Alligator mississippiensis: one gene and its partners. The protein of the gene in region 4 interacts with the protein of the main gene of each other region in a pairwise test. Links are inferred from orthologs where the notes say so. Each region holds a gene or a part of one and is shown on either strand. Other genes may lie near its edges. The genes, in order: IFT43, heterogeneous nuclear ribonucleoprotein M, TAL2 and LMO2.

Region 1 (6,883 bases), about 45 Mb from region 4:
CACCCCAGCAGCTCATCTGCTGAGAGGGTTGAAGGAGCTCCAGACTGCTGAAATGCCAGTGACAGTAGGTCACTCTCCTTCTCCTTCTGGATGGTCCTTTAGGCTAGTGGTTGGTAACATTTCTGCAGTAGGGGGCCACTTTAGCAGAGCTTGACTGCTCAGGGGCTGCTTCCAACCCAGTCTGTGTTGCCGAAGCCAGAATATTCACTCCCTTTGCACTTATGCCAATTCTCCTTGCTGCCCAGCTGCTGCACAGGTAAAGTCTTCCACTGCTAAAATCCCTCGGCTCTGTAGCCCAGATAAAATAGCTCTGCAGGCTGGATCTGGCTCGTGGGTTTTAGGTTGCCAACATGTGTTCTAGTATAATCCAAGTGAAGAACAGCCCCTGGTGGCTCAGAGAAGCAACTGCTGGACAGTCACACAGCACTGAGGCATCAGTGCCCAGCTAAACTGTGGTGAAACGTGGAAGTGTTGTTCAATACATGAATGAAGTGTCTGACACTTGGTAGCCCTGACTGCCAAATCTAAGTGGTGCTGAGAGCTTGAGGGCCTGGGGGATGTACTGCCTGCCTGGAGCTCAAATTCAGGATGTCACAGAGAGACTACCAAAGCTCATCCATCCCTATCCCTTCCTGCTTGTCCATGTAGGAACCAACAGTACTGTCAGGAATTACAATGAGCAGATCAGAGGTGACTCTGAGGCGCTTGGCAGGAGGATTAAGGAGCTTGGAGCACAAATGGTGTTTTCATCAATTTTTTTTCTGTGGAAGGCAAGAATTCAGGGAGAAATCATTGTATCCTGGAAGTGCCTGAGACAGTGGTGTCAATGTGAAGACTTAGGCTTCTTCAAAAATGGGTCGATGTTCTTGGGAAGAGGACTGCTATCAAGAGATGGGATCCAGCTGATGAGAATGGAGAAGAGTATCTTTAGGCATTATCCGACCAACCTGGTAAGGATGGCTTTAAACTAGGTTCCATGGAGAATGGTGATCAAAACCCTCTAGCAACAGGGCACACAATTCAGAGGGGAAAGGACTCAAAGAAGCAACTTAACTCTGGGAAAGGGCCAGAGATCTACAGGATTGCAACAACTGGTGCAAAAGGGAAGCGAGTAGGTCAAAATGCAAAATACATCCAATGCATGTGTACAGTTGTGAGAAGTATGGTTAATAAACAAGATGAGCTGGAAGCTGAAGCCGGTGAAAAGAACTATGATCTGATTGGCATCACAAAGACCTGGTTTTACCAAGATGAGTCTACAGTGTGATGCAGCCATACAAAAGGCAAATGCAGTTTTGGGATGCATCATTAGGTGCAAGACATGTGAGGTGATAGTGCCTCTCTACTTGGCACTGGTTAGACCTCATCTGGAGTACTGCATGCAGTTCTGGGTTCCAGATTTTAAAAAGGACATGGAGAAGTTAGAGAGGATCTAGAGGCAGGCAACAAAGATGATAAAGGACTTGGAAAGCAAGTTGTATGAGGAAAAGCAGAAGCAGCTAAGCATGTTCAGCTTGCAGAAAAGGTGCTTAAGAGCAAATATTTGAAGGGCTGCCACAAAGAAGTGGGAAAGAATCTTTTTCCTCTTGTTCCAGAGAGGAGGATGTGGGGTCAATGGCTTGAAATTGCAGCAAAGTAAATTTAGATTGGATATCTGGAAAAACATCTTCACTGTTAGAATAGTGAGGCAGTGGAATAGGCTGCCTAGGGAAGTTGTGAACTCTCCAGCACTGGAGATGTTCAAGATGTTGGACAGTCATTGGTTAAGGATGATCTAAGAATAGCTATACTTATTTTCTACTATGAGTATTTCCCATTCTTCTGGGATTTTTTGGTTGACCTTGTCTACCTCTACCCCTCTTTCTGCTATATGTGTCAGGGTGCTGTTAAGCCTTCCTCAGAGACATTGGGTGTTGATTACAGCCAAAGCTGGAGATTTTGACTGAGGTATGCCAGTGCTCCTACTGGGACCAAAGCTGGAAGTTCCTGGCTACTAGGCACCAAAGCTGGAGGGTCAGAGCAATTGCCATGTTTGGGGTCAGGAAGGAATTTTACCCCATGGTCAGTTTGATATGGACTGCAGGGTTTTTGCCTTTGTCTATAGCAGGAAGCCTGGCCCTCTGTCCTATATCTCTTGGGTATATATTGACATTTCATTGGAGCAGGACATTGGCTGCTGTGGTTCCCCTGCTTTACCTGTGGCAGGTTAGGGTGTTAGGTCTGTGTTGATGGTAGTCTTATGTAGAGTTCAGATTATGGGTTGTATAGGATGGTTTGGAATGATCCTTCTTCAGGCAGGGAGTTGGATTAGATGACCTCTGGAGGCCTCTTCCAGCCCAACTTCTCTATGATTCTATCTGAAAACTTGTCTAACTTTATCCCAGCTATACAGTTGATCCAATAAAGGATCTCACCCCAAAAAATCCTTGCCTCTCGCATAAATATTTGTAGACCTCTGGAGCCCAAACTGCAGAAACCACCAGAATGACATTTCTCGTTTGCATCATTGTCTTGAGTTTTGTGTGGTAACAAAAACGAATTGGCCCATGTACACATCAGCAGTCTGTTAAACCACTTTACATATAAACTAAATGCAGAAGAAAGACCAAGTGAACCTGGTCACTGGCTGCTTCTAGAACTTTGCTTTTATGCCAATAATTAATGGTGCACACATAAAGAGGGGCATAGATATGCTTTAGACAATCACAGGAGCAATAATAGTTCATTAGAGTCTGATTTAGTGCTATGATTTGGATAGCTGTGGTGAGTGTGGGGGTGACGGGGAATGGTCTGTAGTGGGGATTAGATGAGCCATGTCTGAGCAGTTCAGAGAGAACCAAAGCAATGTGACAGTCATGCTCTGTTCCACCCTCCATACACACTGTCTTCTCCTCAAGCGTATCTTGTTAGGTACATTTAAAGTTCCTTACCATGACCCCATACTTAACATGCGGTACTGACCCTTAAAAGGAAGCTGCAACAAACCAGCTTCACATTTAATTCTGTGCTTATCCTCACAGACATCAGCACCAGAACCTTGTCCTTAGGACTGGAAGTGCTTGTCATGTGAACCCTTTCATCCTTAGCACACCTCCCTAAAATCAGCTGCCATTGCAGACTAATCAAGTACTTCAGAGAGGGATCACTGTCACTGACAATGTCCAGCCGGTTTGAAAACCAGATCTGATCTCACAGAATAGCTGGAATCTATCCAGTCCTCCCCTAGTGGTGCTGCCCACACACTGGTTTTATTGGTCATCCTTGAAGTCCACCCTTGGTAAACAGCAGCCGGGCACATGGCAGCGAATCAGCAGCACACAGCAATACTACACTACAGTTAGTACTAACTACACTGTATAGGCACGCCCATACTGCGCGGTTATTTTCAGTTAGTGCGCTGTAACCTAACTTACTGCGGAGTAAATGTGCACGTGTAGGCGCAACCCCTGAGAGTGACTTGGGTTTTGCATACTCTGCGCCAATGAGCTGCCTCCAAAATGATTGCACAGTTTGAACACTTTCACTGGGATTGATCGGGCATGGTACACAGTTTGCTGTTATCCCGCAAATAGGACCATTCTCTGCACGTGGCAACAGGGCGGGACGTGCGTGGCGTGGCGGGGCGGGGGCGGGGAGGGCCGGGCCGGGCCCAGCCGCCTTCGCTGCGCTGCGCTGCGCTGCGCTCCTAGCGGGGCGGATCCGGGCAACTCGAACCTCACCTTGACCCACGGCTCCCCCTCGTTCCAGTGCAGCTTCCCCTTTATGTGCGCCCGCTCCGCCGCTGCCCTCCGAGCTCCCTGCCCGCCGCCCGAGCCCCTTTAAGGTGGGGAGGGGGCGGCTCAGTTGCTAGGGACGCGGAGGGGCGGGGTCTTTCCCGGAAGTGGGCGGGGCCTGGCGCGGCATGGAGGCCGAGTTGGAGCTGGGCGAGGGTGCGCGACGGGGGGGTTCTGCGGTGAGATCGGACGGATCCATTTCCACTCCTGTGGGGGGGCGGCGCTGGCCCCTCCTGCTTGGCTTTGGCACGCGCAGGAGCGGCGTCCCGTGGCCGCGGCGGGGCCGCCTGGGTTTGCCCAGGGCGGGCTACGGGCTGGGCTGGGTGCGGGCCTCGCTGCCTTCCGCAGGTCCCTGTAGCCCTGCTTCTGCCGCTTGTGCCTCTCACTCCCGCCACTGGGACGTGGAGGAGGAGCTGCCCCAGCCCCGACTCTTGTTTTGAATTGAACCCGCATCCCGGGAGCAAGGTGAAGCCTCCTCCGCCTGGCCCTGTCCTTTGGGCCAAGCGTGGGTTCCAGCAGGGACTTGATTTGGCAATGTTGCTCCCCTGGTATCTCTGTGCCAGCGCTTGTAGCCAGGCCTGTGGTTCTGTTTGAGCTGAGGATGTTCCCTGGAGGAGGCTGGGCAGGTGGCCCTGGTAACTTGGCCCGAGGAGCAGCAGCTCTTTGCCTTTGATCACCACGTTTTATTGCATTTCTATTGCCGTGGTGGCCACAGACCCACATCAGTGCCAGGGCTTCATTGCATGGAGAGCTGCAGCCTGGGCATTGAATCACTGGCAGGCTAAGGTGACACGTGGAATATGGGGCAAGGCGGGGGGTGGATATGATTAAGTGGTACAATTTTACAGTCCTGTTCAACACAGGCTCGAGTGTCAGCTCCCCTCGTGTGTGCACCTATTAACTGGCTATGCCTTTTTATGGACATTGTTGCAGAGTTAGATTTTTGAGTAGTGGCTTGAAGAAGGTTAGTGGTTTTGTGACTTGGCTCCAGGAGTGCGAGCCAGGCATATGGTGTGATGTGGAAAGTGGCTGTGTGGGCGGTAGACAAAGGGGCACCTGCTGCTGGTATTCTTGGTCTGTTTGGGCATCACTGCACTGGGTAAACATTGTAGCGGGGAAGCTTGTTTGTGTTTCCATGTTGGCAGTGCCCTCAGGATGCCATTGTCAGTAACTGTGCTCTGTGCCCTTATAGGTGGCAAAGATGGGTCGACGAGCTCGCCAGGATTCCTTTCCAGATGAAAATCATCTCAGCAGGAAGAATTCCTCTACAGCTTCAATAGGCGAGGTGGGTGCCCAGGGGCTGGACCACGTGTCTGCAGTATAGGCTGCAACTAAAACCTGATGCTATCCCCATTAGAAAGTTCTTCATATCTTGTAGGATCTTGTCTTGGCCCCTGTGCTGTGAGATGTGCTCTTACAGCTAGAGTCCATAGCACCATTTTTTCTTACTGAAAGTGCTTTCCAGTGTCTCAGTGCTGTGCTGGCCTCTTCAAAATGGAGTATTGTACAGGGGATTAGATATGAGGCCATGATTTTCTGAGAGAGAGATGCCTGCATGGGAGTTCAGAACAGGATGGTATGGGGGACCCAGGACCTGTTGTGGGGAAAAGAGGGGTGAATGCAGCTGTTGCTTTGAGTGCTTTTTCCCCAGTTTTGGATTCTCTCCTTTGTACACTTACTTCGTGCTTGCAAGATCAGATTGTCTTAGCTACCCGTGTCCAGGGGGCTGTGTCTGTATCCTAGATGCTGTTGCATGCTCCCCAGTGTTCAGACTCTTCAGCACTCCCAGGCACAGCCACCTGTTAGCTCCTTTTTACCCTCAATCATAGCAAGACAGAAGTCTTGGGAGCATCTACTCTTTCTCTACTCACTGTACATGTTAGAACCATAGTTTTTTATAATTGCCTGCTGGTTTAAAAAAAAAAAAAGAGAGAAAAAAGCATTTTTTCCTTGGATAAGCTTTCATTAGGTTAGACCCTATAAAGGGTCTATAAGAGGAACTAGTTTCATGACAGAAATTAAATCAGCAGGATTTGAGAACTATCCTTGTGATGCTTTGATGCTTGTTAATGATAGACATCTTCCCCACATCCCAGAGCAAAGTTCTGTCCATTGCTTCCTTCAGGCTCATTCAGAGTGAAGGGAAGCTGGCCTGGAGTTCCTTAACTTTTTGAAAGAATGATAGTTTCCTCAGCTACCAGCAGGGAGGTTATGCCAGGGCCTCATCCCTTTTTGGTCTGTCTTTTCGTTAGTACCCCGATGAGCTGAGATTTCACCCTGTGTTCCAGTTTTCATTTATCTGACAGGGGCAGAACAGAGCACTGCTCCAGAAAAGAGCCATGTCCCTGGTTGCTGTCCCTGGCACTTTGCATACAGACAGTAATACAAATCACTAGACTTGTGACTTGTCTTGAATCACTTGTTTAATGGCTGTAAAGGCATTATTTAAAGGCCCTTTTAGGTGCTTGATACTGCCCTCCAAGACTGTGTGTGCAATGTCCTTTAAAGTCAAGACACTGCTCTACCCTTGGTACTAGCTGTGATGCAGATGTTTTGGTAACTAGACTCTCTGTGCCAGATGCCTCTCTACTCGGGACCCCAGCACTTTCCACCATGATACTGACTGCTTCTGTGGTACCTAGATCATATGTGGTACCAAGTAACTTATTAGTCAGCTTGGTAGCACAGTAAATTCTCCTCAAGAGATTTTAGTGGATGATATCTAAATTGCCAGGTTAAAGAGGTATCTTTGGTATGGACTTTAATGGTATCCTTAGACGGGTCACACCTAATGGAACAACACCATCTTTGAAGAAAGTATAGTCTTTTCTGCTGAGCGAAGTAGAGGTTCATTTCACATCTTCCCCTCACTGGGAGCTCACAAGGAGTAGATTTGACATTCTACAGAGGAGTCTACAAAAGGTTTGTGGAAAGAGACATAATGGTCTGTCTCCAGCATGTGTCCCTTATTAAGTACTCTCTGTTTCCACTTATGACCATATTGGGCAAATTGATTTCGTAGTTTCATAGTTGATAGTTGGAAGGGACCTGAGGAAATCATCTAGTCTGACCCCCTGCCATGGCAGGAAAGAGTACTGGGGTCAAATGAC
Region 2 (7,653 bases), on a different chromosome or scaffold from region 4:
GTTATTTGAGATACTCTTGCAGCAGCCACAGCTAAAAGTGGTGCCATTGCCTTTTAAGCATCACAAATTAGGACAGCCTCCAGCTGCTCTGGATTACTAGCAGTGCTTTAAACTTTTGAGGTGGGCCTTTTGTGCATGAGTAGTAAACAGTGAAAGTATTCCAACAACAGAACCAGTGTTGGATCTGAATACATACTATATTGGAATTGTTTGGCTGGGAGGTACTTCCTCTGGCCTGCAGAATTTTGGCCATTTACTTAAAACTGAACAAGAACAGACAAAACTAGGCTAATGATGACACTGCAATGGCCCTTCTTTTCTAATCTTGAGTACAAGTTCATATGTTATAGAATCTAGACTCTTTTCTTTAACAAAAGGGTTAATTGCATCAATATTTTGGAGAAAGATAAAATACCTTTAATTTTCCCCTTCTCCCCTCTTGCACCTCACTTTTTTATTTTTAATCCAGGGGTTCTTTACACTCAGGAATAGGTCCCTGTGTAGAAAAGCATAGTTAATAAATGAAAATCTGGTCACAACTCACTCTGCACTTTCTCTGTGCCGAAGCAATTTAATTCTCTAAGAACTGGTCTTCAAAGACTACTCTGTAACTCCCAGAGTCAAAATATGATGTGGATCTAATTTATAGCTCACTGCTCCTGGAGATGGAAAATTCTTATGTCAATCTATGGGGAGAGAGTGCCTACAGAAATGCATGGTAACAGCTATATAGTTGCACACACCAGCAGGAGTTGCTTTGTTTAAAAGTTTAGTGTTTTTACAATTTCAGAGCAGTGTAAAAACACTATAATATTTTCAGTAAATGCTATGGACCAACAGGGTGCTTGGTTTTTTTTGCCTGAAATGCCAGCAAACTGAACTTTCCTAAGTGCATTTAGAAATAAGGTGCAAAACAACTATGGTACTTCTCTGTGGGAAGCGACAAAATAACTGGCAGTTTAAATTGGCTTTGTTTTTCTGAAAACAAATTATTCCTAAACTTGTATTGTCTCCACAACTCCTTTCCCAACTATTGTCAAAGCAAGACAAGACACTTTGTGTATGCAATGTTTTCTTGCCATGTAAATCAATTAATTTTAATCTTTGGAACTAAATTCTGTGCACATTAATTGTTTAGTGACAAGCTGAAATAGTCTCATCAGACAATCACTGTACAAAAGGGTGGTGTCTCTGCCCTTTTCTGCTTACACATTCCTATAAAGGAAAGCACTGTTGTGATTCTTGAAGTGAGGAGAGGTATCCCAGTATCTGGCATTGGAGTACTTTGTTGACTGACTTGCTTCTCTGTCCACTTTTGCAGGCTGTCCTTGCCTGTTGCTTGCTAACCAATAACTTTGTATTCCTGATGCTTGCGTGATCTTCTAATACCCAGTCCAGGTGAGGAAAACATAGTACATTTTGGGATCTAGGTAGATCTCAAAAGACCTCATGAGACCCTGTCAGGGTAAGATAGTCTAAGAACTGGAGTTCTTTGACTTCTGTCTACCTGGAACCATACCATGCAACTACAAATGCATTCTGCATTTAGGACGTGTTTATTTCTGTTCTAGAATTGCTTTTTTGGATGCTGGGCTAGCATACCATTGAATTCCTGTTCTGAAATCTGGATACTCCTAGGAAGCCCATTGACTATTCTTAAAGAAAGTGATTTTTAAAGAGAGTAATTTTAAGATATAGCTTGTTTAAAACTTTAATATTGAGAGCCCTGATCAAAATTGGTACCAATTATAAGGTCCTCAGAGGGCTATTAAATTTAATGCTACAGCAGACTCCACTGAATCTTGTGGTTGAAAGATCAGAACTTCATTTAAAAGGCCATTAAGTTAATTAAAAGATGCTCTTAAAATCGGCTTTTAAATGTAGCTTTCTTACAATTGAGCCTGTGACCCTGGCAAAACCTGTTTTGGAAGGGTTGTGATCTTGTGTAGCAGCAGTTGAAGCTGACTTAATTTGGTGTGCAGAGTAATTCCTTTCATATTGACTAATTGCACATTGATCAGCAAAAAGTCATCCATTTCTAAGCTTGTGAATCTCGTTTTTTGGCTTTTTTGAAATGGGGTTTGTAGCTAATCTGGCAATTCTTAAATTAGCAAGAATGCAAATTAGATCTAAAACAATGTGGTTGGATTATGATGCCTGCTGTTTAAATGAATGGCATTCAGAATTTTGATAATGTTGACTATCTGACATTGATACTTTGGCAGGGCTTTTCAAAGTGGGCTATATGCTGCCTACATACAAAGCCTTTGTTTTTTCAGTTGCATGTCAGGATGTCAGTAAAAAAAAAAAAATCTGTAGCTTAGATCAGGGTAAAATTCTTCTTGGAACTGTCTCTAGAGGCATAGCTCAAATACTCATTTGTTATGCTATATCTGCTGATTTCCTTTCACTTTCCACTATGGATGGATCCAAATGGGAGAGTGGATATGGTGATGTCTAGCTTCAGAAACTACAAAGTTTTCTATTTCTGACTGCTTCTGGAAAGGAATTTCCAAACCCTTCAGGTAGCTAAGTAAATACTACTTATATGCTATAACACATTAGTCTCTTAACATGGGTGATGAAATAAATCTTTCTCCTCTAGCCCTGTGAAGAGAAGTAGGAAGGAAGCTGCTGACAGACATGGGGGGGGGAGGGGGAACCCAAAAACATCACTTTACTAGAAGAGAAAGCATGTTAGTTTGACCCAGCTCCCCAGCATCTATGGAATCCTCACTCTGGGGCTTTTTGGCACTTCTATATAAAGCCGATTTGAATCAGCTATTGGATAAAGGTGCCAGAAAGCACCGCTGAAGTGTGCAGTCTATGCCAATGTTGGGTGAGCCGTGTGACTTCTGGGCATGCGCTGGGCTCGGCCTGGCGGCACACCGATCTTAAAGTAAAGCGCTGTTTCATTTTTTGTTTGTTTTTCACATCTGTAAACAGATGTAAACAGAAAAACTCCTTTTTGTGTATTAAGATTTACTAAAAGACTGTGCTTGCCCCTTTCATAGCTGGAAGTCCTCTTATGTTGTCTTTAAGAGGGGTGGAAACTTCAAAGTATTTGGATATAGTCAGTGTGACAAGCCAGAAAAATAAATCCAAATAGGTTTCTCAGCTATATTTCTGCATGCCATTTATTACTAACTCAGCAGCTAGGTAGCTGTATTCTGAAGGCATAGAAACTAGTTGCAGTATTCATGAGGTGGGAGTCCTAATTGTGTGGAAAAATGCAGATTTATTTTTCCTACAAATTTTGACTTTTTGCTACAGATTTTAAAAACTTTATTTTAGTTTCTTGTCTTGGGCATGAAGATTATAGTAATGTTAATGGAGACTGTGTTGAAATAAATAATGGGCTTCAAGTTCTACTTTTACTTAGTGGAGGAAGGTATACTAAGCAAACTAAAATTACTGTTGAATACCTGATTATTGGAGATAATTGGGTCCAGTTTTGTTTTTAAAAATTCCCTCCTGTCCTTGAAAAATCCAGAGTGAAGCGTATGCTTCTGTTATATCTAGACGGAAACAGACTTTCCCATGGTAATGAGTGGGTCTTTAAAGACTGAGGAAACTGATATTGTGGAAATAGATGGTCTTGCAGTGGAGGAAAATCAAGGACATAAAATATTTAACTTTACTGCACATCTGTAATTCTCCAGTTCGGTGGTTTAGAGAATATGGAGTGTTTCTGGGCTTTCTTATAAGGCAGAGGCTCCATACAAGGTTGTTGATTGTTCTAAATTCCCATTGTTTTCTTGGCTTTTCTCCCTTGGTATATGTGTCGTCTGGAATCTGATTTGTAGTTGGTGAGGTAACATACGTGGAGCTCTTAATGGACGCTGAAGGAAAGTCAAGGGTAAGTGTTTGAGAGAATTTCTTCTGTGGATTTACTACATGACAAATGTAACTGTATGGTGGCGTGGAACCGAATGAAATCAGGAAGGTAGAGAGTGTGGATGTATAGTGGCTATAATACGTAGGTACAGCCCAAAGCCTCTTTTTGGGATGGGGAGGAGGTGGGACGGGATTTGTAGACAGTGTCAGCATTGTCTTCCACTGTGCTCAGTCGGTGTTGGCTGTGTGAATTACGCATGGACCCTCGTGATATGGTATATTAACGTAAAACTTGTGTCTTGGAAAATGTCACTGTAGTGGTTTGCTGAATTTGTAAGATCAGTGTGCAAAAGCAGGTTCTGTAAACATTATGCTTCCTTTGCCAGAAAAGAAGTCATATCTTTAAAGCTAAATGTACTTATTCTTAGTAGGTAACAAATGACTTCCAGTCAAATGAAATAATGTTTTAGAAAAATTTAGGGTGAGCTAACTTTTTAATTGTACGAAAGGGATATGATTTTTAGGATGAGAACATGGCAAGGATTTTGATGTACTATTGAGAACACGAAATATAAAATGTGTGGTGTTTTCTTGGAGAACCTGGACTTAGTTCTGCTTATTACAACTTCAGAAACTACAATATAACCCTAATAATGTATTAAGGGTTAATGTGGTATCCAGGTAATGAAGTTTTATATTGGGTAAGGCTTGTGTTTTGTACTTGCTTTTCTTATTGGGATTAAATTGCAAAGTAGTTTTAATGAATACTTTTTTTTTTTAAGTTAATTTTTTTCACTTTGTGTTTTTTCTTTTTACTTACTTTCTTTTCTCTCTTCCCTCCTACCCTCCTTGTTACTCACCTGTGAAATCACCACATCAAGGGATGCGCGTAAGTTTTATTTATCAATTTTGTTTTTTGCAGGGGATGGGGAAACTTCAAACTACAAGCAACATTCTTAGCTGTTTTGTCTCCCCACAGTGTTGTTGAATTCAAGATGGAAGAGAGCATGAGAAAAGCTGCAGAGGTTTTGAACAAGCATAGTCTTGGTGGAAGACCACTGAAAGTGAAAGAAGTAAGGCACTACACTTTTTTTTTCCTTGTAGTATTTTTGTTTTTAACATGAAGAGATTGGGCTAACTAAAGCAAGCCCCCTCCCCCCCCCCCCCAATAAATTTTGGATCCAAAACCTTTTAAGTATAAGCATCCAAAACTTCTAAATGTAAGTCTGTCTTGGGCCTGGTGCAGTTCAGCAGGTTTTATTATAGCTTTGGCTGCTGGACTAGACAGACTGCTTTTTAAGCAGATTTTCAGACAAACTGGGAAGCATTGAGAACACCTTGGAGGACAAGAGCCCAGTTCAGAAGGATCTTGATAAATGTGAAAGCTCAGCTAGAGACAACAGGATGATGTTTGCTGACAATTGTAAGGTGCTACATATTGAGAATGATCAAAAACAAAATGGGTGACACATGGCTGGATGGCAGCACTATAGAAAAGGATGTAAGAGTCTTGGTGGTTCACAGACTATAATTCTGCAGTGACAGCTGCACATTTGGGCTGCATCAGTACAGAGCATTCAGTGCAAAACATACGGGAGCTGATAGTACCTCTTCACTCAGCAGGGGCTAGGCCTCATCTAGACTATTTTGCAGTTTTGGGCGCTTATGTTTTTAAAGGGATGTGAAGAAGTTTAGAAGAGGTCCAGAGGCAATGAGAATAATGATAAAGAGCTTGGAAGGTTTGCCACATGGGGAGAGGCATGTTCAGCTTGCAGAAAACATGCTTGAGAGGGGGCATGATGGCTATCTCATTGGCTGTGATAAAGAAGAGGGAGAATGCATCCCATCCTCTGCAGCAATGAAAGAAGGCAGACAGATAGCTTAAAGATGCAGCAGAGTAGGCTTAGATTGGATATCAGGAAAAACTGCTTCACTGTTGGAACAGTGCTGCAGTGGAATAGACTGCCTCGGGAAGTTGTGAAATCTTGGTCATTGGAGGTTTGTTTTCAAGAGATTGGACGAGCATTGTCAAAGGTGATCTACAAGTAAGTATGTCTGCAGTGTGCTGTAAAGAACAGTTGAAAGTCTAGGAGCTAGAATATGTATATGGGTTGGATATAGAAAGAGCAATTCTGGCTGTCCAGTTAGGTATGCGTGAAGTCATGCTTGCCGTCTTCACCTTTCATTCTGCTCTGCAGTCTGTTGTCAGCTTTTTTCCTCCCATGCTTCTGGGTTTTCCTGGGTGCTGCATGAGTTGGAGAGGATTTTTTTTCCCCTTCTGTTGCTACAGGTGTCAGGGTTTCCCCACTTCCCCCACCTTCCTCAGTAGCTTTGGTTGTTGGTTGTAGCCAAGGCTGGAGCCTTGATTGGGATGTACCAGTGCTGGTACTGGAATTAAACCCAGAGGTTTCTTGTTAGAGGCCTTGCCCCTCTTTTCAGACCTGTTGCCTTATTGGGGGTCAGGAATGAATTTTATTCTGTGGTCACATTGGTATGGACTTTGGGTTTTGTTTTGTTTTGTTTTGTTTTTTTCCTTCTTTGTAGTTGTGGGGGAAGTCCTGTGTCCTAGGTTAAGTGTTCAACACCCCAATGTATTTTTAAAAGGAAATTAAAGTGAGAATCACTGGACATCAGGAACTTAGAAAGACAAGAAAACAACAATCTTCTAGCTTTTCAAGATTAGGAACCAAGAGCATCTGATTAGACTTTCCCTCCTGCCACAAACAACCCTTTAATATACTGTTGTACTGCTATTTATCACTTTTTGGGGGGGTACTCCTTCAGACGGCTTTCATTTGAATCTGTTTTTAACTTTACTAGTATGGCTCTTGAATTACTATGATTGTTTTGATGTTAACAGGAAAAGGAATAAGAAGTTAAGATTGGACACACAAGAGCTTATAATATAGAAGGGTTTATTATGATTCTTGTACTGATTCGGCATTTAAATTTCCATGTGGTTACTGAAAACGCAGCATTGGCTCCAGGGTCAAACTGAGGAGTTCAGTGCATCATGGTAGCTTATGGTGCGTGTTTACTGTTGCAGGATCCTGATGGGGAGCATGCTAGAAGAGCAATGCAGAAGGTGATGGCAGCAGCTGGTGGGATGGGCATTGGCCCAGGACCAGGTGGCCCTGGAATGATTAATATCCCACCCAGCATCCTCAACAATCCCAACATACCCAATGAGATTATTCATGCCTTACAGGCTGGGAGACTTGGAAGCACTGTCTTTGTTGCTAATGTAAGTACACTCTCCTGTTTGACAGTAGATTTAGGCTCTAGCTGAATTAAGGATACCTTAGTTTGGGAAACTAAAGAGTAGTACTCCTTTGCAAAAAGCCCTGTTTGTCTTCAGTTTAGGGATGTAAATATTGTTTAAAAAAATATTCATTTAACCTCCTCAAATTATATCGGTTAAATGGTTAATGGATAACACAGCAGCTTAGATACTGCTGAGGCTGGGAGCTGCTCCCAGGGCCCTTTGCCTGGGGTGGGGAAGGTAGTGGCAAGCCCAGCCAGACAACACAGCTCACATGCAGCCTGGTGCTGGGAGGGAGGGAACACTGGTGAAGGAGCAGCTTATTGCTTAATTGACAAGTCATTAGGCTGTCTGCTGTTTTCCTCTTAGGCTATGTCTTCCTTGCCCTTCCTCCTCATTTCTCCCTCCCTCCCTTCTGCCTGCCTGCCTTGCTGCCTTCTGGTTCCTGCTAGGGCACCTTCTGCTCCTGCTCCCCCTCTACCCCCCACCCATTTCCCTCAGACTATACCTGCCTTGAGTTAAGTGATAATTATTAAGCTAACTGGTTAGAACTG
Region 3 (7,435 bases), on a different chromosome or scaffold from region 4:
TTTTGGGTGGTAGAATGACACTGCTTCATTTTCACCTGTGGAGCCTTATTCTGATCAAATGGAAGTCTTGGACCAGTGTAACCCACTGAACTCAGTGGAGTTGTTGCAGATTTACACTGGGTCTGCTAATGTGAGATGTCAGGGTGGTTTGAAAGAATCAATTATTTAATCTGTCTGAGTGAGCAAAGCAAGAATCAGAAGTGTGGGGGGGAGGAAATGGCACCTTAATATCGAGCAGCTGCTGTATGACCTGGCACTTTATTTAAACACAAGTGTCAGTGTAGAAATGGATGACACTGCTTAATCAGTTTGAGGAAAGGTAGAAACTTTTGGCCTTTTTTTTAAGCATTTCATCCACTCATTTCTCTATACCAATGTATTGGTGCACTTCTACATCATATTATTATTTTGCTTTCATAAGCCCTCTAGCCACCATTATTACACTTAACCAAAGTGACAAAGTTTTGTAACGGCCTCCTTTGTATTGCCACCTCAGATTTTGTTAGCAGGCTCATTGCCTTCCATTAACTCTTATGGAAAACGAACTGTTCCATACAACCTGAAAAACAATGTTAAAGTATTGTGCACTAAAGCATTAGGAAATACCAGAATTAAAGCCTTCTACTAGAGGCTGTTGGGTGGAGGCCACTGTTCCTTTTACTCCCCATTTATCCATGGTCCTCTTCATACCTTGCCAGCATAGCTGAGAAAATGGATCTGGCTTTCCTGCAGTGGGAAAATCAGCGTAGTGTACATAAGACCTATGTTCTTAGGATCTGAGAACCTTCATTTGTGTCCTATGCACTCTGTTATCACCTGGGGATTGCTAGATTGTCTCATTCTGGTAATGGTGTGAGAAAGGGAAAGGGCCTCTATAAAGCCCTTGCAATTGCCATTGCTTCTTGCACCACAACAGGTTTGCTTTTTTTGGCCACATGTACATGAGACACAAGTACTAAATGATTGCGTAGTAACTGACGTTACTGCGCAGTAGCATCCCTGAACAGCTTTTTGGTGGCACTGACTGTGCAGTAGCTCATTCCTACTGCGCAGGAGTAATGAGCTACTGCTCATTTAGCGTCCTTTGTGTATTTTTAAAGACCGCTTATCTACAGAGGTGCAATCAGTGCAGTGCACTAAGCACATAGACATAGTAATACTCAAGCTTTACAATGATTGGTAATCATTAATATGAGTGAAATGCTGTAGTGACTGACTAGGTGTCCTTATTGAATGTTATGCCTGCATTCTAGCCTTCTGTTAATGGTTGTGGTCTTTTACTCTGACATAGGTACCTGTTTCCGAAGTTTACACTGTGTTGGACTGAGTTTGTAGAACTCAAGGTACGTGTGCCCTGCGAAACCCTGCAGTATATTGAAGCCAACTATGGCAAGGACTGGAAGGAACCTGTGAAGACATGGGACTGGAAAAGCTCTCCACCCAATGTACAGTACAATGGAATGTGGCCTGTTGATGAATGGGATGATGTCATTCAAGTCTACTGATCACCTGGATGTTATTAGAATGTGTTTGGTGCCATTGGACCTATCCAGTACCCCTTACTCCAAATTTTTAAGAACAATTTTCATCCATTTTCAAAGGAGATGTTTAATTTTATCTCACGTAACAGATACTGCACGTACTACTCTATACATCTACATCAGGCATTCCCCCAGACAGCTAGAGAATGAAGGTTGTATGTTGCAGTTGAGCAGACAACTGGGAGAAAGAGGTAGAAGGGCAATGATAGAATTGAAATAGAGTTATGGCAAAAAAAGTTAAAACTTGAGCCATGGCCAGATGCCTTGACTTAATTCAGTTTGGCCTCTGACCTTGGGATTGTTACTTCCCTAGCTATAGGAGAATGGAAGTCACAGAGGTTGACCCTTGCGGAAAGGGGGGATTTGGTTTGCCTAGAGCAGTGGTAGCCAACCTTTTTGGAAGGAGTGCCACAGATTAGCCCTGCACCATCCCCAGATGCCACTCACATCCCTATCCCTTGCATGATCTGCTGCTCTTTTTTCTGCTCTGTGCAGTTTCTGCCACTGTGCTGCCTGCCCTCTCCCCAGTCTGCCACATGCCATACACACAGGCTGCCCTTGCTGCTTGTGGCTCTCGTGCCACAGGTTGGCCACCTTTGGCTTAAAGTATCCATATTAAAGTGATATAGAAAAAAAAATTTGATCAACTGATGTGAAGCACTCCTACGAGCTGTAGCAGTCAGGTGAGCCTCAGGTTGCTGGCATATTGTTCAGTTACTCAGAGCACATGTGACTGCATTGTGAAACAGCATAAATGATCTATGTTGGGGTTGCATAGGTAGTCCTAAATAAAAAGTTGGGGAAGCCTCAAGAGCATTTTGCACATTGGAGGACATTTGGCCCTCCTTGTATTATGTCCCAAGGAAATCTGGGTTTGGAAGCCTGGTAACAAAAGAGAGGTTTTCTGTTAACTACTTTGTGGAAGTGTGCTGGGGAATATTATCCACAGTTTAATTATAATGTGAAGCCATATGCAGCAGGTAAATGCTTCATATGAAAGGCAGTCACTTATTCCATTCTTTGAAGTTTTAATCATGGTTTTCAACCTGGGATTTGCAAATTATTTTTTGTAACCATCCTTGTTTTCTTTTTGGATAGAAAGAAGTGGGGTGTTGAAATGTCTAAGTAGCACTACTCTAGTTTTTAAATGTAAATACAAGCTAATAATCTGTATACTACTGCTGCCATCTTGATTTACAACAGTGTAATCAAAAGTCTCCTACTGGGTTAACACTGAACTAAATTTTACACAGGGATGTATCCTATGTTGTTTATTGCACTTTTGATCAGTGCATTAAACTTCTTCATTTGTACTTTGAGAGGAAGCTGTTGGTGAATAATTGGGTTCGGTTAGAAACTGCTTGAATGCATCTAGGGAGAAATGAGTCAAAAGTGCTCTCAGTGGAGTTGGCAAAGTTACCCTACTTTAAATTGTTTTAGTCCCTGTCGGAGGACAAGACAAGAGCTGGGGGCGTTACTAATGGTATGACTGCCGAGTGTACTGGCACAAACCCTGGGGCACTTGGGTGCTTTCATTTGGTGTTAAGCATCCTTCATATATTTATATACAAGTCTGAAGACAGTGTTTCCTTTCTAGAGCATTATGACTGTATCCAAGTCACTGCTTCTCTGTCAGCAGCTGGTTAGATAGGACAAATCTTAGGTGTGTATTTAATTGTTATCTATCCATCCAGTTTTGCAGGTGTATGTGTTCAAGTTAACACAGTTTTGAAGAGCTAAAATAGCAGCTGCTATGTGGCTGTTTTACTGCTACACCATTCAGAGTGCACTCTGGGGCTTCCCTGGGATTTATACCCAAGAGCGCACTGTACACTTATTTCCTGCCAACCTTCCCAGTTCCTGAATGCTCCTGCCACTGAATGCTAAGCTAAATTATTCAGCATTTGGCAAATACTTTAAAAATTGTCACATCCTTAATTACCTGGAGTACTTTAAACACTACGGTAACCACAGGGATTTTGCTAAATTAGGTATGGGAAGAGGTAAAATTCTGCTGATGTGTTTACTTGGTGAGGTGTGAAGCATTGTCTGAAGGGAAGAGTTTTGTTTCTCAGGTAGATTTTTTTTTTTTTTTGGCGTTGTTTTCTGTTATAAATGGCTGAAGGCCAATTTTCTTATGATGTTATATAGAGCTCTATGTTGTCATGCAGTTTGGTAATTGAAAATGGTACAGTAGCTCTTTATACTTTTTTTTTTTTTTTTTTTTTTTAAATGTCACAGAAGGGAAAAGATAAGGTACTATCAGGATAGACAGTTTGCAGTTTGTCAAGTTTATGACTGTAACGGAAATAACAAAAAAATGCACATGCTTCAAGCGAAACAGAGTGTTTAAATGTCTGACTTTATGGTATCTATTTAATTTATTGTACATGTTAAAATACTTTCTCTTCAGAAGATACAGATTGTATTTTGTAACACCAATTAACTAATTAAGAGTTTAGTTAACATGTCAACATTCTGAGTTACCCTTTGTGCTCTGTTATCTAAGGCAGGGGTCAGCAACCCTAGGGCCGTGGACCAGATTTGGCCCACAAAGATTGCTCTGGCTCCTGAAGCTGCGATTGCAGTAGTGGCCAGGTCACAGGCCCACCTTAGTGCCATTAATTTGGTTCACCACTGCTAAAAGGTTGCTGACCCCTGACTTTGGGACAGTATTTTTCAGTACTGTTATTTACTGTGAAATAATATGGAAAAAAATGGTTTTGATTTTTTGTTTTCTATTGTTTATTGACTGTGTTTTACCTTAAGTTTTTATTAATAAACTCTGAAAACAGTGATAGCTGCTCAAATGTCAAAGATTTCAAAGTTTGAAATTTGACTGTATGAACATGACATGGGGGTGGAGGTGGTATTAGGTTAGTTTTTCACTTCACTTGTTGGAAACCATTTGTATCTTTGTTGTCACACCAATGTGGAAAAAAGGTTAAATCTTTGTTGCAGTCTTACTTGGACAGCTAAGCTTTCTCCTGTTTAAACTGTTGCTAAGCTTTTTGACTCAGGATTTTCATTCATCTATTTACAAGGTCTGCCTCTTGGTGAAATCAGATTTTTATTTCCCACCATCCCTTTCTCTGCAGACTTTCCACGATCATCTGAAAATACAAAAGGGCAATAGCAACAATAAGAAATTCCTAATATTTGGCATCCCAGTAGCAATGTCTACAGCAGGGGTAGGCAACCCTGGGCACGGGTGTCAGAGTGTGGCACATGAAGGCACTTTGCTTGGCATGTGCACCTTGGGGGTGGACGCCAGGGAAGAGGCCAGGGCTGCGCTGCCACAACAAGGATTGGGCCCCTCACAGCTCCCCTGCCATCCACTCCTGGCACACCAACTTCTTACAAGCCGAGCTTGCAGGTGTTTTTGCACTCTATCCTAAAATGTTGCTGACCCCTGGCCTACAGGTTTGTCCTACCTCTAGAACAGGGCTGGTAAACTCATTTGCCACCCTATAGGCTGGATGAGTGGTTTTGGGTTGGTCTGGTCCACAGACTGGTCCTGCAATCCAGATCCATCATGTGTCCCAGAGTGGCCAGAGGGGGTATTGGCATGCAGTGTACCTGGAGTAGGTGCCACATGCGGTGGTGGATCCAGCATGGAGCCACTGCTGCATGTGGCACACACAGCCATCCAGCACACCCTGCATGCTGCATCTGTGGGCTTACTCGAGACCTTCAGGCACCACTGAGGGACAGTTTATAGGGCTTCATTGCCTGGTCCAGCCTGCAGGCCATATCTTTGACGTCCCTACGCTAGAAGGTATCTGGCTTGCTTTCTTCATTTGTTAACTTACTGCTTTGCATTCCAGGAATCTTAGCTTTTAATTTATTATGATGAAAGAGCTAAAGCAGAGCAAGACATTATAAAGCAGCAAGAAAATGAGGTTTTACTGCAAGCAAATGAGGTAATGATGACAAACCCTGTTTATCACAACCCCCTGACTAACAATCCCAAAAGCAGAAACTGACTTTTTTGGGTTTTTAATTATGGTGCAGCAGATTTAACTAATCCTATTTTAGCAAACACCTTCTTTTAAAGAAGTTTTCTCTCAGTCCAACAGGGTTTGTTGTAATGAGCTTGTACTGAACACCAGGGCAGATTTAAACTTGGGGGGAGAGGCTGCATCAATTTTGCAAAATTTCTGCAGGCCCACATTTGAGAAACTCCATATTACAACTTCTTCTAAACAGGCATTGTTCCTATGAGGATAATTCAGGTTGTATCAGCCAGCCAGTGAGTTGTTATGCTCTGAAACCAAAAACATTTTCTTGTGCTTTATCCTCTTAGTATGTGGTTACCCCTTTCATGCTGGAGATCATTATAGCTTTATTCATACCTTGTTATGCCATACATTACTCCACTATTGCTTCAGGCAAACAAAAGCCAGTCTGACCCAACTTAATTGCTTGTGTCCTGCAAGCCACATTTTCCAATAACTCAAGGATTATGGTTGATAATATTTGCTTCCTGAACACTTCTGTCTGCTCACAGTTTTATTTTTAACATGGTTTAAAGAGGCACTGTTGAGCACGTGGTCTTTTTTTCCAGAAGAAGTATTGGAGATGGGCATGCATAACCTGGTGAATCACTTTTTTTTTTACCACTAGAATTGCTTTAAAGCAATTGCTTGTCATGGCTTTCTGCAGGTTGTTTCCTACTGTAGCAGGTTAGATGCCTGAGGACCATTATCATGCCCCCTACAGGTCCCCTAACTCCTAACAGATTATCTCTCTACACTCTTTTAAGGTCTCACCTTGCGTTCTTTCCTGCCACGTCTTGATGGAAACTTTATGAAAGGGAGGCTGCCCTCAGAGACTGGCAAACTTAAGGTGCTCTCTCTCTTATCCAGTGATTGATTCTCTCAACTTTGCTTGCCTTTAAGAGCTTATTGCATTGCTCCGTCCGTCCCTATACCACACCCCTTGCCTCACAGGTGTTTTGAGTCAGTAATCTGATGTGACACTTGTCCCTAAGTCACCAGGCCACCTCAGGCCTTCATTCCTTTATTGAGACTTCAGGCTTCCTGGTTGGTACCTTAGCCAAGGCCCTTTGTTCTCAACCTGGCTTCTGGGTCCCAGCCCCATGTTCTGCCTCATCAGGGTTCTGGGCCCTGTGGCCCCAACGCTCTAGGCACTCTAGCTATGCCTTGAGCCTGCCACAACAGGACTCAAGGCAATTGCATGCCCCTAGGGCACTAATGGCACCTCCAAGAAACACCCCTTACAGTCTGTCCCTGCCTGCCCCTCCTTTCCTTCAAGAGGGATGTGGATAACCTTGAGAGGGTTCAGAGGAGGGCCACTCGCATGGTTAGGGGCCTGCAGGCAAAACCCTACAAGGAGAGAGCGACGGCCTTGGATCTCGGGGCCTATGCAAGAGAAGGCTGAGAGGTGATCTTGTGGCTGCCTGCAAATCCAGCGGGGGGGTGGCGGATGGACAGCAAGGAATAGGAGATGCCCTGTTTACCAGGGCACCCCTTGGAGTAACTAGGAACAACAGCCACAAACTGACAGAGCAGATTCAGGTTAGACATCAGGAAGAACTTATGGCAAGGGTTGCCAGAATCTGAAATGGGCTTCCAAGGGAGGTGGTGCTCTCCCCTGCCTTGGGGGTCTTTAAGAGGAGGCTGGACATGCACCTGGCTGGAGTCATCTGACCCCAGCCCTCTTTCCTGCCCTGGGCAGGAGGTTGGACTCTATGATCTGCTAAGGCCCCTTCTGACCCAAACATCTATGAATCTATAAACATTCACTCCTGGCCTGAACCACCAGGCTGTCTCATGTACCAGGCCCTACTTACTGACTGTAGGTATCTAGGTTGCAGGTTGTCTCTCCTCAGCCAGGCAGTCTCCTTTAGCCTCCCTGTACTCAGAGCTCCT
Region 4 (7,264 bases):
CTCATCTGCTGGCATCTTACTTCCATGGAAAAGAAGGAGAATAAGACAGCTTCTTCTCCTGGTCATTGCCCCACTATTCTAAAGATCTGTATGTAGGTAGTATCTATATGATTCATGTGGCACTGCCAGCACTTTTACATACCCTCCAATTAACGAACTGATTATGTCACCTTTGGACAATTTGTCCATGATGTGAAAGCCTGACCAGGACCTGTACCTGGCAGACAGCACAATGACAAAACATGTAAAAAGCTTCCTCCGGTATATTCACCATTAACCAGCTGCTTCCCACTTTCTTCAGTCTTTCATTTGTGGTAGAGGTTCCTATTAGTTAAATCCAGAAAAAGCATTTCAGTGAGCTTAACTTCAAGAACATGAGGGGCATAGTCCTATTTCATTTATGTGCCCAAATAGCATTTACCTTGCCATGTAACTGCAGTTTTTGACCCTTATGCATAGTTTGCGGTCCTCTTCTACATGTAGCCTAGACGTATAAGTGTTCACAAAGATGCTAAGTATTCTTAGTAGGTTGTGCCCTGGCCAGGCATCATATTCATGTAAATCCTCAATTTATATCTGGGAAAAAGCCAATAACTAATGGCTGTTAGATGTTGGAAGAGGGTCTCCACCAGGTTTTAGCATAATAAGCAAATCATTGAGGCTCTTATCAAGGAAACAGGGGTTACAGGTTATAGTCCCCTCCCTCCATCTCTTGGTTATTAGCAAAGTGGTCTACCACCTGGCCATGGGTTAGACATTATACAATTCTCTCTTCTGCCTCTTCTTCCCTGGGCAGCCAAGAAATAAAGAGCTATGTAGGGCCAGGAGGAAGAAAACAAGCTGGAGGCTATATGGTTCAGTGACATGCCTGATTCCCTGGAAAAGAGAAGTCCCTAGATTCTACTTTGGCACTTTGTGCCCAGTGGGACACAAACTTTTCCACTGTTCTCCATCCATCCACTTTGCCAAGTGATAAATGCAAGGTGCAGTGGCTCAGCTTTAAGGAGAGCAATGTGCATAATACCTAACCTGCAACCTGGTGCTTAGAGCACTGTTGGAAACAGAAGGTATAGACTCAACCTCCGTCTGAGTGAGGAAGCCCTGCAACCTAGATCTACCACTTTTTGGGGGAGTTCCATAACCCCTAGTCTATTGGGCTAAAACATGGGAGGTTACCCATTCTCCCTTCTTCAAATACCTACTTGCCACCAGTTTTTATCTGCCTACAGTTTTAGGGTTTTTGCTCACCCAGGTATACACGTATGGTGCTACATAGCTGCACAACCAGAATATAACCTACAGAGTATGCTCAGTAGCCATGTGGGTGCTTGGTCATCCTGTGTGTAAGCATCAAGTGTCACAAACTGTTGTTACACAGCTGGGTAAGTGCCATTTGAGGGCATACAGTGAAATAGGTTCCTGCCCAAAGTGTCTCACTGACTTGAAGGAGTTTTCTCTGCTTGACATCTACGTCCAGACCAGGGCAGAGATGCTCCATTTGAGGTCAATGATGTCCAGTGAGAAGTTTCTGCACCTTGCAGGATTCAACCCTACATATTTTGTTTGAAGGTTTTCACCCATTGTTAGGTTTAGACTGTGGCTGGACTGTATCCAATAGGTCCTTCCTTTATATTGGCATTTCCTTGTTTTTTGAAATAAGAAACACATTTTTTTTTATTATTAAAAAGACTTTTAGAACAAACACTTTGATCATTGGCCCACCTTGGGAGTAAAACCCCTTGGAAAAATCCTACTCTACACATACTTTGTGTTGAGTATGGAACTGTGAATCTGTATGATCTGTTTTCAGATTTAGAGTTTCAAATTCAACCAGGTTCAAGTGCATTATATTATATAAAAATAATAAGATACACTAGGCCAAATTCTGCTTTTCTGCTTTTATACCTGTGCAATTCTCTGGAGTCTGGCATTTAATTATGGAAACAGTTATTGCACAAAATTAACTGATGGCTGAATCTGGCCCCTTCCATTTATTGTAAAAAGTTAATTTTTTCCCCACAATCCTTGGTCCTTTTATTTTAACCATGATTTTTTTTTTAATTGCAGTCCTTATATATATTCTTAATCCCCCTTTAAACTTTGTTTCTAATCCATAAAGCTGCCATCAAGTTCAGGCAGCTGAATTATTCTGGCTTTTAATAGTTTAATTATTCTGTCTCTCAGAAAGGTTTATTTTTTACTCCTGATCATAAAGTCAATATATGTGACATTAAGTATTCAGAATATAATTCAATCCTGCCTATAAAGCTATTTTTCTTTGACCAAAAATATTTGATTAGCAGAGTGGTTATCACACTGTAAGAGTTTAAAGTGTATTAGAGACAGGCTATTTAAGGAAACAGGGTGGCATTTCCTAATGATCAATGATGGCTCTAAAGCTGTGGTTTTCAACTTTTTTTCATTTGCAGACCCTTAAAAAAACTTGCAAACAGAGGTGCAGACCCCTTTGGAAATTTTGAATGGAGGTGCTTTGAATTGTAAGTGTGGGTGTTCACATACTTTTGATTGATCATAATTATTTTTTATGGACCCCTTGGACATAGCCTGTGGACCACCAGGGGTCTGTGGACCACAGGTTGAAAACCAGCGCTCTAAAGATTTGATAAAGCCTGGTCCAAGCCCCTTGAATTCAGCAGGAGTGTTTCCCTTGACATCACTGGACTTTGAACTTAGCCCTTTAATGTGTTTCAGGTTCTTATTCCCCTGGTTGCCAAAGAACTGGGTCAGGGGGTGGAGAAAAGATTAGAAAAAAGTCACAAAATAGACTTTAGATGAAATTTCTGAAATGGGAATAATAGATAAATGAGGTATTCCTTGGAGTCACTAGTGCTTTCCACTGTATTTATAGGAATTACTGGAGCAGACAGTTCACCTACTCCAGGACCTTGCCCCCAGCAACAGCCAACACCTCATGCTTCATTCACAGGACAAAAAAAAAGGGCTGTAATTGCAATAATAGGTTTAATTTCAATAGCATAAATCACTTGGCACCAGAACAGGCTGGAGAGAACCATCCTGCCTTGCTAGGGAGTTGGGGTGAAGAGGGACAAGAGGCAGGAGAGAGGTGGCAGGTTCCGAAGGGTCTTCCCCATTTCTAGCTTAGGCATGATTCATTTCACATCAAGCCTTTCCATGCCAGAGCTTTTATAGCTCATTAGTGGCAAACACCGGCAAGATATAAATTTCTTATATTGCTACTAAGCAGGACAATTGTGCAGACACCAGTGACTATATGAGGCACAGAGGAGAGACACAGGCACGGATGACACAGATCAGGGTAGGCTTGGTTCTGCTGTAGTGTGTGCTTTATGCCCTCATCTCAAAGCCCTGAGCAAAGGGGGTTGGATGGGGAGGGCACTTAAGTGTCTTTGGCTGTGCCAAAGTAGGGGGTGTTTTATGCCCTGATCTGAAAGCCTTGGGCAAAGGTGTTGGATGAAGAGGGCATTTTGATGCCTTTGGCTGTGCCAGTAACATTGTAGGGGGTGCTTTATGCCTTGATCTCAAAGCCTTGGGCAAAGGGATTGGGTGAAGAGAGCATTTCAGTAAAATAGTAGGGGATGCTTCATTCCCTGATCTCAAGGCCTTGGGCAAAGGGGTTTGTATGAGGAAGACACTTAATGCCTTTGGCTGTGCCAGTAACATAGTAGGGGGTGCTTTATGCCCTGATCTCGAAGCCTGGGGCAAAGGGGTTGGATGCAGAGGGCATTTCGGTGAAATAATAGTGGGTGCTTCATGCCCTGATCTCGAAGCCTTGAGCAAAGGGGGGTGGATGGAGAGGGCACCTAAGTGCCTTTGGCCAGTAACGTAGTAGGGGGCGCTTTAAAAGCAAACCAGCCCTGAGGGGCATTTCCCAGAAGTGTTGCCCTCCGTTGCGGAGCACCCCCCGCCCCGCTGCGGTCCCAGCCCTGGCTCAGGCAGAGCCCGCCTGGCCCTTTAAGCCGGCGGCCCCGCGGGATGCTGCTGCGTGCGCGGCCGCCCCCGCCCGCGGGCCAGGGGGAGCCGAGCCGGGCCGGGCAGCTGTGTGTCGGAGCGTGATTTCCTTCCATTGTATCGGAGTCGTGCCGGGGGAAGAGGAAATGAAAGCGGGGGCTCGGGGCTGCGCTCGCTCGCCCTCATGATGCTGGGGCTGGGCGCCGCCTCTGCAGAGAGCCCGCTCGGCCCGGCGTGCCCAGAGCTGCCCGGGCGGGGGGCGCGGCAGTGACAGCTGGGCGCGGAGATGGGAGGGTAGCCGGCTCCGGAGGGTCAGCCCCGCGGACGCCCCGGCCCAGCCCAGCCCAGCCCAGCCCAGCCCAGCCCGCTTTGTGTGCGCGTCTGTGGTGCGGCAGGAGGAAATCCCGCCCGTGCCCTTGGGGGGCGGAGGGGAAACTCCGCGGGCGACCAGGCACCGGAGCACACCGCCTTGCCTTTGTGGGGGCGCATCCCACCGCCGCCCAGCCTGCCAATGTCCTCGGCCATCGAGAGGAAAAGCCTCGACCCCTCCGAGTAAGTGCCAGCTCCCCCTCACCCCTTTTCTTTCCCGGGGTGCCGGTGCTGTCCGGGACCTGGCGAGCTCCGGAGGGAGAGGTGAGAGAGCCCGGCTGCCTTTGCCTCCCCCGGCTGCCTGACAGCGCGCAGGGCTCTGGCGTGCGAGGATGGCGGGTGGGGACCGGCGTGCAGCCCAGCTTCTCCATTTGGAGCCGAAGCCAGGTCCTGGCTTCATCCCAGCACACGGGCTTTGGGAGGGGGGGAGCCACCAGCCATCCCTCCCCATCTCTTTCCCTTCTCTCCTGGAGATCCAGCGAAGCCCCAGCCAGACTTCCCCAAAGCTTGAGGAGTGTTGCAGTCTGCCCCATGTTTGATCTGCCCCCCCTCCCCAGCTGACTAGACTGAAAGGTCAGAGCTGTTATCTGATGGGTGCTCAACTTCCACATTTTCATCAGGCCAGAGGCAGTTTGAAACTTTCGAGAGATGGTATTAACTGCCTGGCTGGGGGGTGGCTGAAAAGAGGGTTGGAAAGGAGCTCAGGGAGGACATCTAGTCCATCCCCCCCCCCCCCTCAAAGCAGGGCTGTCCCCAGCTAGATCATTCCAGCGGAGGCTCTGTCTGCCTGGGTCTGCAAAACCTCTAAGGATGGAGATGCCAAAATGGACCAGGGATCTTGAGAAGAGCAAAGAATTGTAGGTAGGGGGAAGTCTAAAGGGAGCCTTGTCTTTCTTTTTGACTAGGTTTGTGGAAAGAGGGTGGTTACATTCAGGATCTGACAGGAGCCTTCTGAGCTGGCTCTTCCAGTGTATTTCCTGCAGGCATCCCTTCAGACCCAAGCACACGCAGACCCACGCTTGTGAGAAGCGTGTTAATTCAGCCCAACCATGTGGTGTCATGGCACTCAATTCCAGGGCTGCGCATCTCCATTGCAGCAGTGCCTCAGACTTGGTCTGTGCCTCCTTGGCATCGTGACAGCACAGAATAAAAACCAAAACTTCAACAATTCTAGTGTCCAAAGTAAAGCTTAAATCATTGTTTCCCTCCCTCCTATAAAAGGCTTCATTAATCTGGGATTTGTTTCCTGCAAAGCATTTAAGAATATCATCTTTTGAAGCCCTCCTCTCATGCATTGCTCACAGGGATGCTAAGGTAGTTAGCTAGTTTTTCCTCATATTCTGCTTTTTAAGGAATTATAATGTAACCTCTGTGGTAGTTTCCCCCCTCTGTCCTACCTGAATTTCAGCTACAAAATTGAAACATTTTTTTTTTATTTAGTTGGTGTTCTGGTGAATTATTACAGGCGGTGACAGTCAAATTCATAAAAAAAAATCTCCCCCTGAAATCCAATTCCAAATAAACTTCTACTAGGCTATTTCAGAATTTAGGATGCTAGTAGCCAAAATAGGGTTTCAAATAACTCAGTCGTAGATCCTGAACTGACAAGAAAAGGGACAAGAATAATATAAAATATCATAGGGCACACAAATCTTACAAAGAGAGATACATTTATGGTAGAGGAACTGCTACAGTATAAGTCCATTGGATTTGCTTTAGACAAATGCTGTGTTCTGTGTTCTTTAGAACATGATGTTTTCAAGTCGGCATAAAATTCCTTTGTAGTTCTATATGCAGTGTCGGTTGCACTGAATGGACCAGAGAAACAGAGCGTATGCTCTGAAAATCTAGGGCCTGATCCTCTGCTTGTAGCAACTCCCTATGACTCTGCTAGCAATGCCACGTGTAGTGGGCTGTGGGGAGAGAGGGGAAGGTGGGGGCTGGTAGTCATGAGACAGTAAGAGGACAGAACAGCATGCACTGTGACAGTGAAAAATAGAAGTGCTTGCAGGCAGACAGATTCTTTATCGGCACCAAATCCTGACTGCTCTGGGAGTTCTGCTTGCATAAAAACAGCAGGATCAGGCCTTGTTGGGAAGTCAGGGAGCACAGTACATATTTCAGACCCTGAAGAAAGTCCTTTTTACTTGAAAGCTATTTTCCCAGTAAATAAAGTCTGATGAAGTCCTGCATAATATAACTCGAGGGGATCGAAAAATGTTAGTATCTGCAGCCTGCGGGAAGTGCTGACTGCACTCAGAGTAGTTGTGCTGACTTCTCTCAGTATAGTTATGCTCTGTTTCCTCCCCCCCCCCCAGGTTTGGCAGGGTACAGGCCGCCAGCAAATTGTCAACAGACCGTTGGCTATACCAATAACTGAATGATGTACCTAAGAATTTAGGGCTAATTTCTGCAAGGCGTTGGGCACTGTCTGACCCCAATCCAGCAAACTACTTGAGTAAATGGATGGCACAAGTCACATGCTTAAAGTTAAGTGTGTGCTTAAAGTTCTGATCCAATGGAATCATTCCATTGGCTTTACTGAGCTTTGGATGTGGCCCTAAATGCTTGGTGGGAGTGGGGCCAGCATGCTCTGCTCCTTGCTGGATTGAGTCCACAGTCTAGTCTTGTAATTTTTGCTCATAGTATTGCTAGAACTTGCAAAAAGGCAACACTGAGACTTTCTTAAGTAAACATATTTGCAAAAAAAGTATAGCTTTAGCCCTCTTGTATTAGTGCATCTGCTCTTTATTTTAGTGCTTGTTACAAATGATAGGATAGGAATAAAATGTTACTTTGGAATTGTGCAAAAGTGCCCTTTAATATAGTACTACAAAAAAGAATGGGGAGGAGGTGGGTGGCTGATTTTCTTTCCCCGGTGTGTAAATCAGCCATAACTCCTTGAAATTCATAGAACTATGGTGGTCTAAAGTCCATGTAGTAC

Evidence for each region.
Region 1: the proteins of LMO2 (region 4) and IFT43 interact in binary tests that used the Homo sapiens proteins (3 or more experiments, as listed by UniProt). The two-hybrid records come from large-scale screens. The link is inferred for Alligator mississippiensis from reciprocal best matches to the Homo sapiens genes LMO2 and IFT43.
Region 2: the proteins of LMO2 (region 4) and heterogeneous nuclear ribonucleoprotein M interact in binary tests that used the Homo sapiens proteins (3 or more experiments, as listed by UniProt). The link is inferred for Alligator mississippiensis from reciprocal best matches to the Homo sapiens genes LMO2 and HNRNPM.
Region 3: the proteins of LMO2 (region 4) and TAL2 interact in a two-hybrid assay, tested with the Homo sapiens proteins (2 studies listed by BioGRID and IntAct). The link is inferred for Alligator mississippiensis from reciprocal best matches to the Homo sapiens genes LMO2 and TAL2.

What each region holds. Positions count from the first base shown.
Region 1 is NC_081825.1:261,780,325-261,787,207, forward strand, and holds the start of IFT43 (intraflagellar transport protein 43 homolog), read left to right. Parts: upstream 1-3,880; 5' UTR 3,881-3,901; coding exon 3,902-3,952; intron 3,953-4,965; coding exon 4,966-5,058; intron 5,059-6,883. UniProt on the Homo sapiens protein: As a component of IFT complex A (IFT-A), a complex required for retrograde ciliary transport and entry into cilia of G protein-coupled receptors (GPCRs), it is involved in ciliogenesis.
Region 2 is NC_081839.1:10,276,287-10,283,939, forward strand, and holds the start of heterogeneous nuclear ribonucleoprotein M, read left to right. Parts: upstream 1-4,631; 5' UTR 4,632-4,726; intron 4,727-4,816; 5' UTR 4,817-4,832; coding exon 4,833-4,910; intron 4,911-6,883; coding exon 6,884-7,081; intron 7,082-7,653. Other genes in the region: heterogeneous nuclear ribonucleoprotein M-like, read left to right, coding at 3,807-3,871. UniProt on the Homo sapiens protein: Pre-mRNA binding protein in vivo, binds avidly to poly(G) and poly(U) RNA homopolymers in vitro. Involved in splicing.
Region 3 is NC_081826.1:158,376,203-158,383,637, forward strand, and holds the start of TAL2 (T-cell acute lymphocytic leukemia protein 2), read left to right. Parts: upstream 1-4,434; 5' UTR 4,435-7,435. Other genes in the region: ribitol-5-phosphate transferase FKTN, read left to right, coding at 1,292-1,505.
Region 4 is NC_081825.1:217,121,800-217,129,063, reverse strand, and holds the start of LMO2 (rhombotin-2), read left to right. Parts: upstream 1-4,264; 5' UTR 4,265-4,462; coding exon 4,463-4,503; intron 4,504-7,264. UniProt on the Homo sapiens protein: Acts with TAL1/SCL to regulate red blood cell development. Also acts with LDB1 to maintain erythroid precursors in an immature state.